Coturnix japonica: one gene and its partners. The protein of the gene in region 3 interacts with the protein of the main gene of each other region in a pairwise test. Links are inferred from orthologs where the notes say so. Each region holds a gene or a part of one and is shown on either strand. Other genes may lie near its edges.

Region 1 (3,755 bases), about 590 kb from region 3:
TTATGTTGTACTGTCTGATGCTTCACCTCAGGTTGGTGACAGTCTGAGCATCCTTGATGTCTTCTGCTGCTCAGAGGAGAGTGGTCCAGGGGCTGGGGATTAATTTATTAATGGACCTGCTCAATGCAAATAGGAAAATAAATAAATAAAAAAAGAATTACTCTCTCCCTATTAATAGTCACCATAGAGCTGGCAAGCTCTCAATGTAAATTAAAGGAGACCCTGCAGCAGATGATTTGTTCATGTGCTTAAATTAAACTGGAGGTCAGCAATTTCAAAACCTTTTCCTTGTTACCTTTGCTTTCCCCCCTCTGCTTTGCATTCCTGCACTGAAGGAGCAAAGTGCAGTTATACCATCTTTGTGAAGAGAATTCTGGGTAACTGGGGGGAAGGGTGATGCTATGCTCACGTTCTGTGATGATAAAAGGGAGTGATTTTTAAGCGCAAGAAAAGAGAGGATGAGGAAAAGAAATGTGAGTAAAGCACGATCTTTGTCTTTTTTCCACCCCCTCTCCCCCAGTAACTCCCGCCTGGAAAGACCCAAGATCTAGGTGAAAGAACGAAGCGTCCACAGGGCAAACGGCGTTCCTGCAGTGCTGCATTGCCCTGGCAAGGAGGAGCCACGGAGTTGTTTCAGGTGAAGGAAGACTTTGGGCCACATTCAGGTGAAGCGTCAGCTTTTCCTTTTCATCCCCAATGTGCCTGAGCTGCTGGCAAGCACAATTGTGTTTCAGAGGGAGAGGAAAAAGCAGAGCTGCTGGAGAAATAACTTATTCAGGTCATGTCCATGCCAAGGAGTGCATTTGAATGGAGTCCCATGGGTATGAGCTGCCGAGCTCCATGCTTGACTTGGCAGGAGGAGTGGCAGAGGCAGGGCTGTGCTCAGCAAGGAGCAATTGACACATTGGTATCAGCATGCGGTATGCCTGAGGCAGAGGTGAAGATCCATGCAGGGCAGGGTTAAAATCTGAGCTCTTTGCAGCCAAGACAACATCAGAGCTGGGAAATAGCTGGTGGTCTCTGGAATGGTTTGTGACTGTAGAACCATACAGGGAGGAGGGGGGTGGGGTTGGGGGGAGGGGAGAAGGGGAACATTTGCTGAATCAGTGACTCTTCTGAGTCAGAAGAAAAATTGTTCCTGCCCCCCTGCCAGCACTTCGTGCAGATCCAAGATACCGTTCCCAGAAGAGTCCCTACATATGTTAGCAAGAAGACAACTGCCTGCACATTTTGCAGCAAGAACAGTGTAGCAACTGATGCAGCGCTGTGCTGTGAGCCTGGGGTAATGTATCTCCTGGAGGGAAAGCTGCGGAGAGCAGTGCTGATGGGCTTAGTCTGCTGACTGCCAGAGATCAGAGACCTTCTTTCTGACTCCAGGGACGCTTGCCTGCTAGATTTGCAACTCAAAGCAAGCAAATGATTAGCTGTAGTTTCAGGGTAATGTATTACAGCATCCCCTTGTGTGGGGACAGCAGGCTGGAAAAACTACAGTTCCCAGCACCCTTTTGTGCACATCCCTGCAAACTACAGTTCCCAGAACCTTTTCATGAGCCGGGGAGGGAGGGTGTACGTGGAAGTAATTGCTGAGGAATTTTGCATCGCTCCCCATACTTTCAAAGTGCTGCCCAGCCCTCGGTTAGTGAAAACCGAAACGGAGGAAAAGCCAAGGAGCGTTGAGACAGTGGTTTTACCCACCCCTAATAACTGCAGCACTAAGCATCCTTCTCGCCCTGGAGTCTCCCTGGGCAGACGCAGGGAGGATTCTTGCCCCTAAGGGAAACACGGCTGCTGCGGAAGGAGAGCAGACTAACTACAGATCCCAGCATTCCCTGGCAGGCAGCACCTGCGGCAGTCCCTGCGTGCCAGGGGGGATGAGGATGTGGATGGAGGGCGGGGAAGAGATGAAGGGCGCAATGGGGCTACGCTGCGGCTGGGACCCACCCCCCATTGATGCCCAGGCCAAGTGGGTGAGGCTCAATGTGGGGGGCACCGTCTTCCTTACCACCAGGCAGACCCTGTGCCGGGAGCAGAAATCTTTCCTGTGTCGCTTGTGCCAGGGCGAGGAGCTGCAATCGGATCGGGTAAGGCAGCTGTATTGCCTCCTGCACCATGCCCTTCTGAGCACGGGGAGGGCTGCAGGGCTGGAGTCAGATCCCAACAGCTGTAGGAATAACCCAGAGAAAAATACCTTCATTTTCTCCCCTTATCCTAGCGAGAAACTTCTCTTGCCAGATACTTCCTGGCTGTGTTGTAGCCCAGTCCCCTGCACCCCTGCTGCTCCATCACCGTGTATACCCTGAGGGTACTCCCCAGATGTAGCAGCCTGACTCAACCCTTTTTTCACTTCGAGGGATTTCAGCTTCCTCACACCAGGCCTGTACTTATAGTTGCAGGAGCCTGAGGTCATGCTGAGATGGACATTCTGAGCATAATAATGCAGGAGTTAATATCTGAGTGAAACTGTCTTGGCTATAGTCTATTATAGAGATGTTGCAGGTAGGTGCAGGTCAAGATACCCCGTGCTTTTCATCTCATGGTCTACCTCTTGTTGATAGGATGAGACTGGTGCATATCTAATAGACCGGGACCCTACTTACTTTGGGCCCATCCTGAATTTCCTCCGCCATGGGAAGCTGGTCCTGGATAAAGATATGGCTGAAGAGGGTGAGTCTTGGAGCTCAGAAACTTACCACTTAACCATTGCTGGAGCAGCACAGTAGGGTTTGTAGTTGACCTCCTTGTCTTTTGTTATCCTTCTGAAGATTGGTGTGGGAGATTTGAGAAGGCCATCCTTGCAGCTCTTGGAAAGCATGTTTCCTTCTCTAAGTGGGAATGGAGCAGGTGGAGAAGGGATCCTGCATATATTGAGTCCTTATGGCTGTTAGTTGAGCAAAGGTGTCACGGAGATGGAAGCAGACTAGGTCTCTCATCCATGAAAAACTGTTTTATTACCTGTTCCTGATACACTTTTAACCAGGCTTTGTGACTGAGGTTTGTACTAATGACTGAGTGTTTCTAATTAGGAGTGAAAACCCAGAAGACCAAACAGACCAACTGACTGTAATAAACCCCATAATTAATCAGTGACACGTAATGTATGCTAATAGTGCTCTGATGGGTTGTGGACTGCAGCAATTCCAGTGGAGCAAGCCAAACAAACCAATCCCTCATTTGATGTTGACAGGGAGTCCAATAGGATAACTCAGTAACATCATCATGGTGTTACGAGCCAGCGATCCCCAGTGCCTCATTATTTTTTGGATGTTAGGGACTAACAAGCAGCCAATTTCAAAGACAGGCTGTGCTGTCCAGCCCTTGCCAAGCACAGTTTCTGCAGGTTCATTAGCCTTCTTGCCTCCCTTACATATTTTTACCAAGGAGTGTTTTATTCAGAATCATTTTATGACTTATAATGCAAAAAATATATATCTAAGAAATAGTACAGAATTGTAATAAACACCATTCAGAGATGTTTCTTACTTATCATTGGTTGTCACCCTCGTGTCAGACAGAGTTCAGCCGAGGCTTTTAACACCAGATCTGAAACGTAAACAGGAGTTCTTGTTCTGTTCACAGCTTTCTTTTGCTCCTGCCACAGGACAGGCTGGCATGAAACCAACCTGTTAGAGGGTATGGCTGAATGGCTGAATGAGGGACTTATTCTGAGTTCTCAGGTAGAGAAGGATCAAACCCATACCAGCATTGTCTGCACGCTGATCTGGGTACCCATGAATGTCGGTTCCTGGCCTCCTTCC
Region 2 (2,575 bases), on a different chromosome or scaffold from region 3:
AACAGCTGCCCAGAGACGCTGTGGATGCCCCGTCCATCCCTGGAGGTGTTCAAGGCCAGGCTGGATGGGGCCCTGGGCAGCCTGGGCTGGTATCAATGTGGAGGTTGGTGGCCCTGCATGTGGTGGGGGTTGGAGCTTCAAGGTCCTTGAGGTCCCTTCCAACCCAAGCCAGTCTATGGTCTCTTCAAATAAATACAAGTATCCTTTCGGCTGTTTCCAGTACTTAATGCTTACAGGGATACTTCTGCACTTGTCACAAATCTAATAATATGCAGCTACAGAAATAATTTCCAGCCTTTTATGGCTGTTCCTTAGAGGTTATAAAGAAGTAATAAATGTTTCCATCAATGGTGTTGCAGCATGTGAGTTTATTTATGTGGCTGTGTCAGAGGCTATCATGTTAGCTGCTAAAGGAAAGAATGTGTGGGCTCTCTGCTCCTGAAACATAACAAGGACCTCAAAACGACTCTGAAACTGCACAAACAAAGCACAAGGCTGTAAGTTGTTGTAGGCTTAGCAGATGGGATGGAGAGCTCTACGTACAGGTTGTGTATTAGCAGTTGTGTTTAGATTTAGTTTCAAGTATAAGATGAAACAAGATTTACAGGGGAAATGCAGGGAGCTCCTGCCACACTGTGACTGATTGAGCAGAAGCAGGCAATGATGTCATAGCCTTGGTTCTACAGTACTGGAATCTTAAATAACATTTATTGTAAAGGTGATGTTCTGTATTGGGTTACTCAGCATCTCACCTACGTGGGTACCTTGCATCTTATCTGTAATCATGCAACACACTGTTTTAGTAATGCTTTACTCCACAATATGCCCTGATAGACTCTTTTCCTCTTGAAATGGGATGAGCACAAAGGAGAGGTTGAAGAGAAAGCAGGAGGGGAAGCTTCTATTACATGTAGGAAATGGTGTTTCAACAGAGTAAGAGATGTGTGAAAGGAAGAAATTATAATTTGCCTGTCAATAAATCTGTTCTAACCTCCACCCTCTCCCTTTCTTTCCAGAATCTACATCGTTCATGATGAAGTAAAGGATAAAGCTTTTGAGTTGGAACTCAGCTGGGTTGGAGAAAGTAATGCATTTCTACCTTTCTGTCAACAGTAGAGAAAGCTTCTCATTTTCTGTATTGAACATGCAGAAGCAGTGTTTTACTTATCGCACCGTGCTGTGTGAATTCTAATAGGTACTTCTTTTTTGTTTGCAGTAACCAATGGAAAACATGAAATTGTTCCCAAAGACATAAGAGAAGAAGCAGAAAAATATGCCAAGGTAAGGTCTGACATCACTGCTGTCATCTCAGTGTTGCTCTTGGCAAGTCTGGAATAGAATGAATGAAGTAAGGAGCAGGATTGTAGCACTATAATGACTGGAAAAGGGATGGGTACATTAATCACTTGTAGCCAGGATGTCTCCTGATGAGAGAATTGGGAAGTTCCCTCCATGCAATCCACAGACAGTTCTTACATTTAAAAAGCATGGCATCAAGCTTCCCTACCTCTCATTTCTTTTATTAATGCCTCAGTCATTACATAAGTGGATGGGAAATGCAGTAAGTCGCGTTACCTTTAAAGCAGGTATTTTAGTTAACCAGCTGGATAAAGCTGCTCCCCCAGCATTTGCTTTGAAAGCAGTAGTGGTGCCAGGTTTTAAGTTCTTAAGTAGTTTAGTTCTTCAGTAGAAACAAGGCCTGCTCAATAGCGGCCTTTGTGTATGTAGAGAAAATAGTAAAACAAAACTCTTTTTTTTTTTTAATAGGAATCTTTGAAAGAGGAGGATGAATCAGATGATGAAAATATGTAACACATTGTTACTTCAAGACAAGTTTGACTTAGTACAGGTTTGTTTATAATGTATTACCCATGGGACGCTCCTTTGTACATGCTGGAGGAGACTGAGTGACCAACTTGCACTAATAAATTTTCCATTTTACTGTCTGTTAGATTTCATTTCAAAATAAGTTAGGATCAATTTAGAATACAGAATGCTTTGTATTCTAAACTGTACATCAAAACAGGCCTTAAGATGGAAAGGTGTCATCATGCTGGTGTAGATGCTTCTTACTACAGCAGAACTTTTGAATCAGGCTGGGCCTAGGAAGACATGTTATCAGTTTAGGTGATATGTGCAGCTGCCAACTACAACCAGCTTCCAGGAAAGCACTTTAATTAACAGTTCTGCTGTCTCAGGCTTAAGCCTGGGCTAAGAGTCAAGCCACATGGAATGCTTGCCTTTCCAGCTAAGCACAGATGTCAAACTGCTACAGCTCTCTATCAGGCAGCTTCCTTGAGTGCTGTCCCCAGAGGCAACCATATAGCAACTGCACCTGAATCAGGCTTTAGTTCTGTCTTGCATTCAGTGTGAGTTTACTACTGAAGCTTATTGCCTATTCAACTCTTCTGAGTCAGTGAAAGCCAATCAGTAAACTGATCTCAGCCTAAAGCACCTGCTGAGGACTGATCTTTCACTTGCTTTAATGTGACAAAATGACTCCTTGATTCCAAACCTGAAACCTTGCTCACAAACTGCTAAATGAAAATGAAGAGCTGTATTTACAAGCAGCTAC
Region 3 (3,655 bases):
GCATACCGTGCCTCATTCAATATTGACAAGCTTACACAGCTCTCCTTCAGCTCATGAGGTCAACATCTTTGGACTAACTTTACTTTTTAACACAAGCATTTGTGTATTTTTCTTATACTGCGCCATCGTTACAGCCCATTACCTCATTATCCTCCTCAGAACTCTTTAAAACCCTGACAGTGAATTGTCAATAAGAAAGTGAACAAGAATTACAGTGCTGACATGATGAGTGCAGTAACTGTCCCACTGTGTCTGTGTCAACCCTGACTGTATCCATCTACAGTCATTTACCTTAAATTTGAAATTACTTCAGGCAAACCAAACTTCTTATTTTGCTTTTCTAACACTGAACAGTCTGACCCATGAATCAGTCCCCTAGGTAAATATATAACAACAGTAATCCAAAGAAAAAGCTAAGATTCATGTGACAGTAACATTGATGATGAGAACAATTCATATTTGAAGAAAAAACTCTCCACTTACTTCTCCAGCTATTAACAGTTTGTTCACCCCACACTCTACTCCCTTAAACAACATTCTAAAAACAATTCAGCACCAATTGCCACAGCGTAACTTCAAGGGAACCAAAAAGGCAGGTATAATTACAAAGAACAGCAGGAACAGGGAGTGATCTCCCACATGGTTTTCATATGAGTTAGCATCTAGTTGGCTTTTCAAGAAGTACTGGGTGCTAAATATTTTGAATATCTCGACACTTTATTTAGGAATCCAGTGAGAAGGAGATATTTTGAAAACCTGTCTTATCACCAAAGGCAAAATTTGTCTTCACAGGGACTGATTTAGAATTTCCTGCGAGGAGAAACTTACATGGACAGCACTGTGCAGAAAAGTCATTGGTAATACTTACAATCCCATGCTTTTGTAGCAGGTCAATGTCCTGGAAAAAGGATTCCTAAAACAACAAATATATAAAAATATATATATATAAATCAAAAATAGGTTTTTATTTTTCTTAAAATTACATCTATCTCACTATGTGTTTCAAATGTGTAAACATTGAAATGGTTTTCCCTAATACCACTTGTCTTGTTGAACTACCAAAATAAGAAAACCCAGAGTAAGCCAAGAAGGCCTACACATTTCCTACCACTTTCTTCATCGAATATATCTTCACAGGCAAGTAATTCTCTGCTGTGTTAATAAACTTGTGCTAGGATCACATCTTGACTCTTTCATTCGCTGTTCTTCAGCCTTTTCTGGCTGATGACCATTCCTTGGAAGCTTAAAATGAACTGATAATCCTCTGGCATTTAATATTGAAGTAAAATATATAAAGCAATAATGATAATTCCATTAGAAACTGTATATAGCTTAGGAAAGGTTAATGAAGAGCATGTGAAGAACACAACTGTACAGGGACTCTGACTCAGAGATTTTCCTGCTATTAGACTGTAACAAAATATTAAATGAATTGAACTTCCTGGTGGTCTCTGGGGACCTCCTGTCTCTCTGTGGGCTTCAGTACACTGTAACAATACCTTCAGACATCTGCTGCACCTGTTTTTCAAAGAGCCATACATTTACCTCATCATCCTGGTATCCAGATTCTTCTTGGACTACTTGATCCTCCATGGCCTTCATTGTGAAAGAGCAGGCAATAAAGGATCGATCAGTACTGAGAAATGCAAGCAAAGACAGTATTGGGACCATAATAAATGTGCAAATAACAGGAAAATAGCTTTTAAAATGTCCTCAAACTGCACACCATTTAACTATGTCATCACATATGGATTTAAACTCTGATTCCGTATCCCACTCTTTCTCCAAAAGGAAAAAACCTACAGTGTTATTCTCCAGTGAACTAATTTGCCTAGAAAAGGTTTAACTGGTGTTAAGAAAATAGAACTCAATCCCTTGTAAGAATCTTGGGTCCCAGTGTGAATTTGGAGGTGGAACATTTAAAATGATTTACCATTAGTAGAATGTATTTCCATAAGCAGTAGCATTGACAAATAAAAAGGACAGCATTGCCACTCTAAGTTACATGATTGCAGGAAAAAATGAACAGGACCTTACAAATATGATTTCATAACCTGCTGTACCAGTTTTATCATTTTGTAAATTGTTAGGTTGCTTCTGCCTTAACTGCCAGCTTGCCTTCATTGCTCTAGTTTTGTCAAGTGTCTCATCCACAAGATTGTATATGTTTGCTTACTCATCCTCCTTAATAAAGTCCGTGAAAAGAATATGATGTTTACTGTGAACCTACAAGATGAGCTACATTTGAAAGAGGATGAGATAAGTTAGAATAAATTTCTGCAAATAGCTTTTTTTCCCCCCCTAGCTTTCAAATAGATACATAAGGTCTGCATAATTTGTTGACAAGAATCACAGAATTACATATTCATAGAACCATCAGTTGGAGGGGATCCTAAGAGATCATCTGGTCCAACTCCCCTGCAATGCACAGGGACACCTACAAGTAGATCAGGGTGCTCAGAGCCTGGGTCAGGGGGGCTGGAACTTGATGATCCTTAGGGTCCCTCCCTACAAGCCATTCTATGATCCTGTGATTCTATTTTCTTTTGTTTCAAAACCCTGTCAATTACAGAATGAGAAATCATGCCTTCATACTTTATGTCAAGAGAAAAAATAATTTCAATAAAGTAATAAAATTAAAATAAAAATAATTGAAGAGATTTTTCAACCCACGGAGCTTCAAATACTGAAGGAAGAAAAACAAGTAACACAAAAGGTATTAGAGCCATATCTTAACCCTCTCCTCTGTTTAAAATACCCTCCTGAAACGCACCTAATCCTGCACTCTAAGCACAGTTCAGGCCCTGTTCTACCTCCTATTCCTCAACCTGAGGTGACTGGCACCTACCAGCAGAAAAATCAGGCAGCTGCAGACCTGTGCCTTCCTGTAGATGGGAGGAACAACAGAGGAGTTACACCACACACTAACTGAAGCTTTAGGGATGAACCAAATCCTCCTCCCGTTGCTGGTGTGGCAAAGGCTCAGAGCATTCCAGTCATCACAGCCTGCAATGAACCAGACATGAGGCTGAAGGTGTGAAAACATGGCAAGTCCATCAAGAAATAAGGACCTTTGTGGAGAAATACGTTTTTGGGTGCCCTGAGCTCTCAGCTAGTGCCTAGGAGCTATTTGTTGGGTACAGGAGCAAGGCCGGCCTGCCTTCTGCACTGAGCAGACGTGGGCTGTGTGACAGCCCTGAGCACACTGTGCAGGGTTTAATAAACGATTCGTGAGCTGACAGAAACATTGCAGCCCACTCGACTGGAGCCGAGGTTGAATCTCTAATACAAGCCATAAAACGCCCTTCCTGCTCCCCGACTCCGTGTATCCCCAGCACACCTCGGCCGAATTACCACAGCCACCGACCCACCGTCAGCCCCAGCGCCGCCCTCAGCGCCTCCTCCTGAGGCAGCGCCCGCCCTTCCCGCCCCGGGAATGGCGGCAATGGAGGCTGTGGTGATGCTCAGTGATGCTCAGTTCCTTACCCCCCCCCCGCGGCACAACACTGAGTGCATGCACTGCTAGCGATTGAAATATCGAACAGTTTATGTCCGTGCATGGATTCCTAGTGCCTAAGGCTCTGTCTGCAGAGAGGAACTGGCTGGCACAGCTTTTGAAAACGGAATTATTCCACTAGAGCTGTTCCAGAAGAGC

Evidence for each region.
Region 1: the proteins of DMC1 (region 3) and KCTD17 interact in binary tests that used the Homo sapiens proteins (3 or more experiments, as listed by UniProt). The two-hybrid records come from large-scale screens. The link is inferred for Coturnix japonica from reciprocal best matches to the Homo sapiens genes DMC1 and KCTD17.
Region 2: the proteins of DMC1 (region 3) and PSMA3 interact in binary tests that used the Homo sapiens proteins (3 or more experiments, as listed by UniProt). The two-hybrid records come from large-scale screens. The link is inferred for Coturnix japonica from reciprocal best matches to the Homo sapiens genes DMC1 and PSMA3.

The regions. Positions count from the first base shown.
Region 1 is NC_029516.1:47,002,654-47,006,408, reverse strand, and holds the start of KCTD17 (BTB/POZ domain-containing protein KCTD17), read left to right. Parts: upstream 1-1,089; 5' UTR 1,090-1,871; coding exon 1,872-2,081; intron 2,082-2,555; coding exon 2,556-2,664; intron 2,665-3,755. UniProt on the Homo sapiens protein: Substrate-adapter for CUL3-RING ubiquitin ligase complexes which mediates the ubiquitination and subsequent proteasomal degradation of TCHP, a protein involved in ciliogenesis down-regulation.
Region 2 is NC_029520.1:50,256,419-50,258,993, reverse strand, and holds the end of PSMA3 (proteasome subunit alpha type-3), read left to right. Parts: intron 1-1,016; coding exon 1,017-1,084; intron 1,085-1,216; coding exon 1,217-1,281; intron 1,282-1,767; coding exon 1,768-1,812; 3' UTR 1,813-1,946; downstream 1,947-2,575. UniProt on the Homo sapiens protein: Component of the 20S core proteasome complex involved in the proteolytic degradation of most intracellular proteins. This complex plays numerous essential roles within the cell by associating with different regulatory particles.
Region 3 is NC_029516.1:46,410,574-46,414,228, reverse strand, and holds part of DMC1 (meiotic recombination protein DMC1/LIM15 homolog), read right to left. Parts: intron 3,474-3,655; exon of another isoform or gene 3,341-3,473; intron 3,007-3,340; exon of another isoform or gene 2,774-3,006; intron 1,637-2,773; 5' UTR 1,603-1,636; coding exon 1,546-1,602; intron 914-1,545; coding exon 869-913; intron 1-868. UniProt on the Homo sapiens protein: Participates in meiotic recombination, specifically in homologous strand assimilation, which is required for the resolution of meiotic double-strand breaks.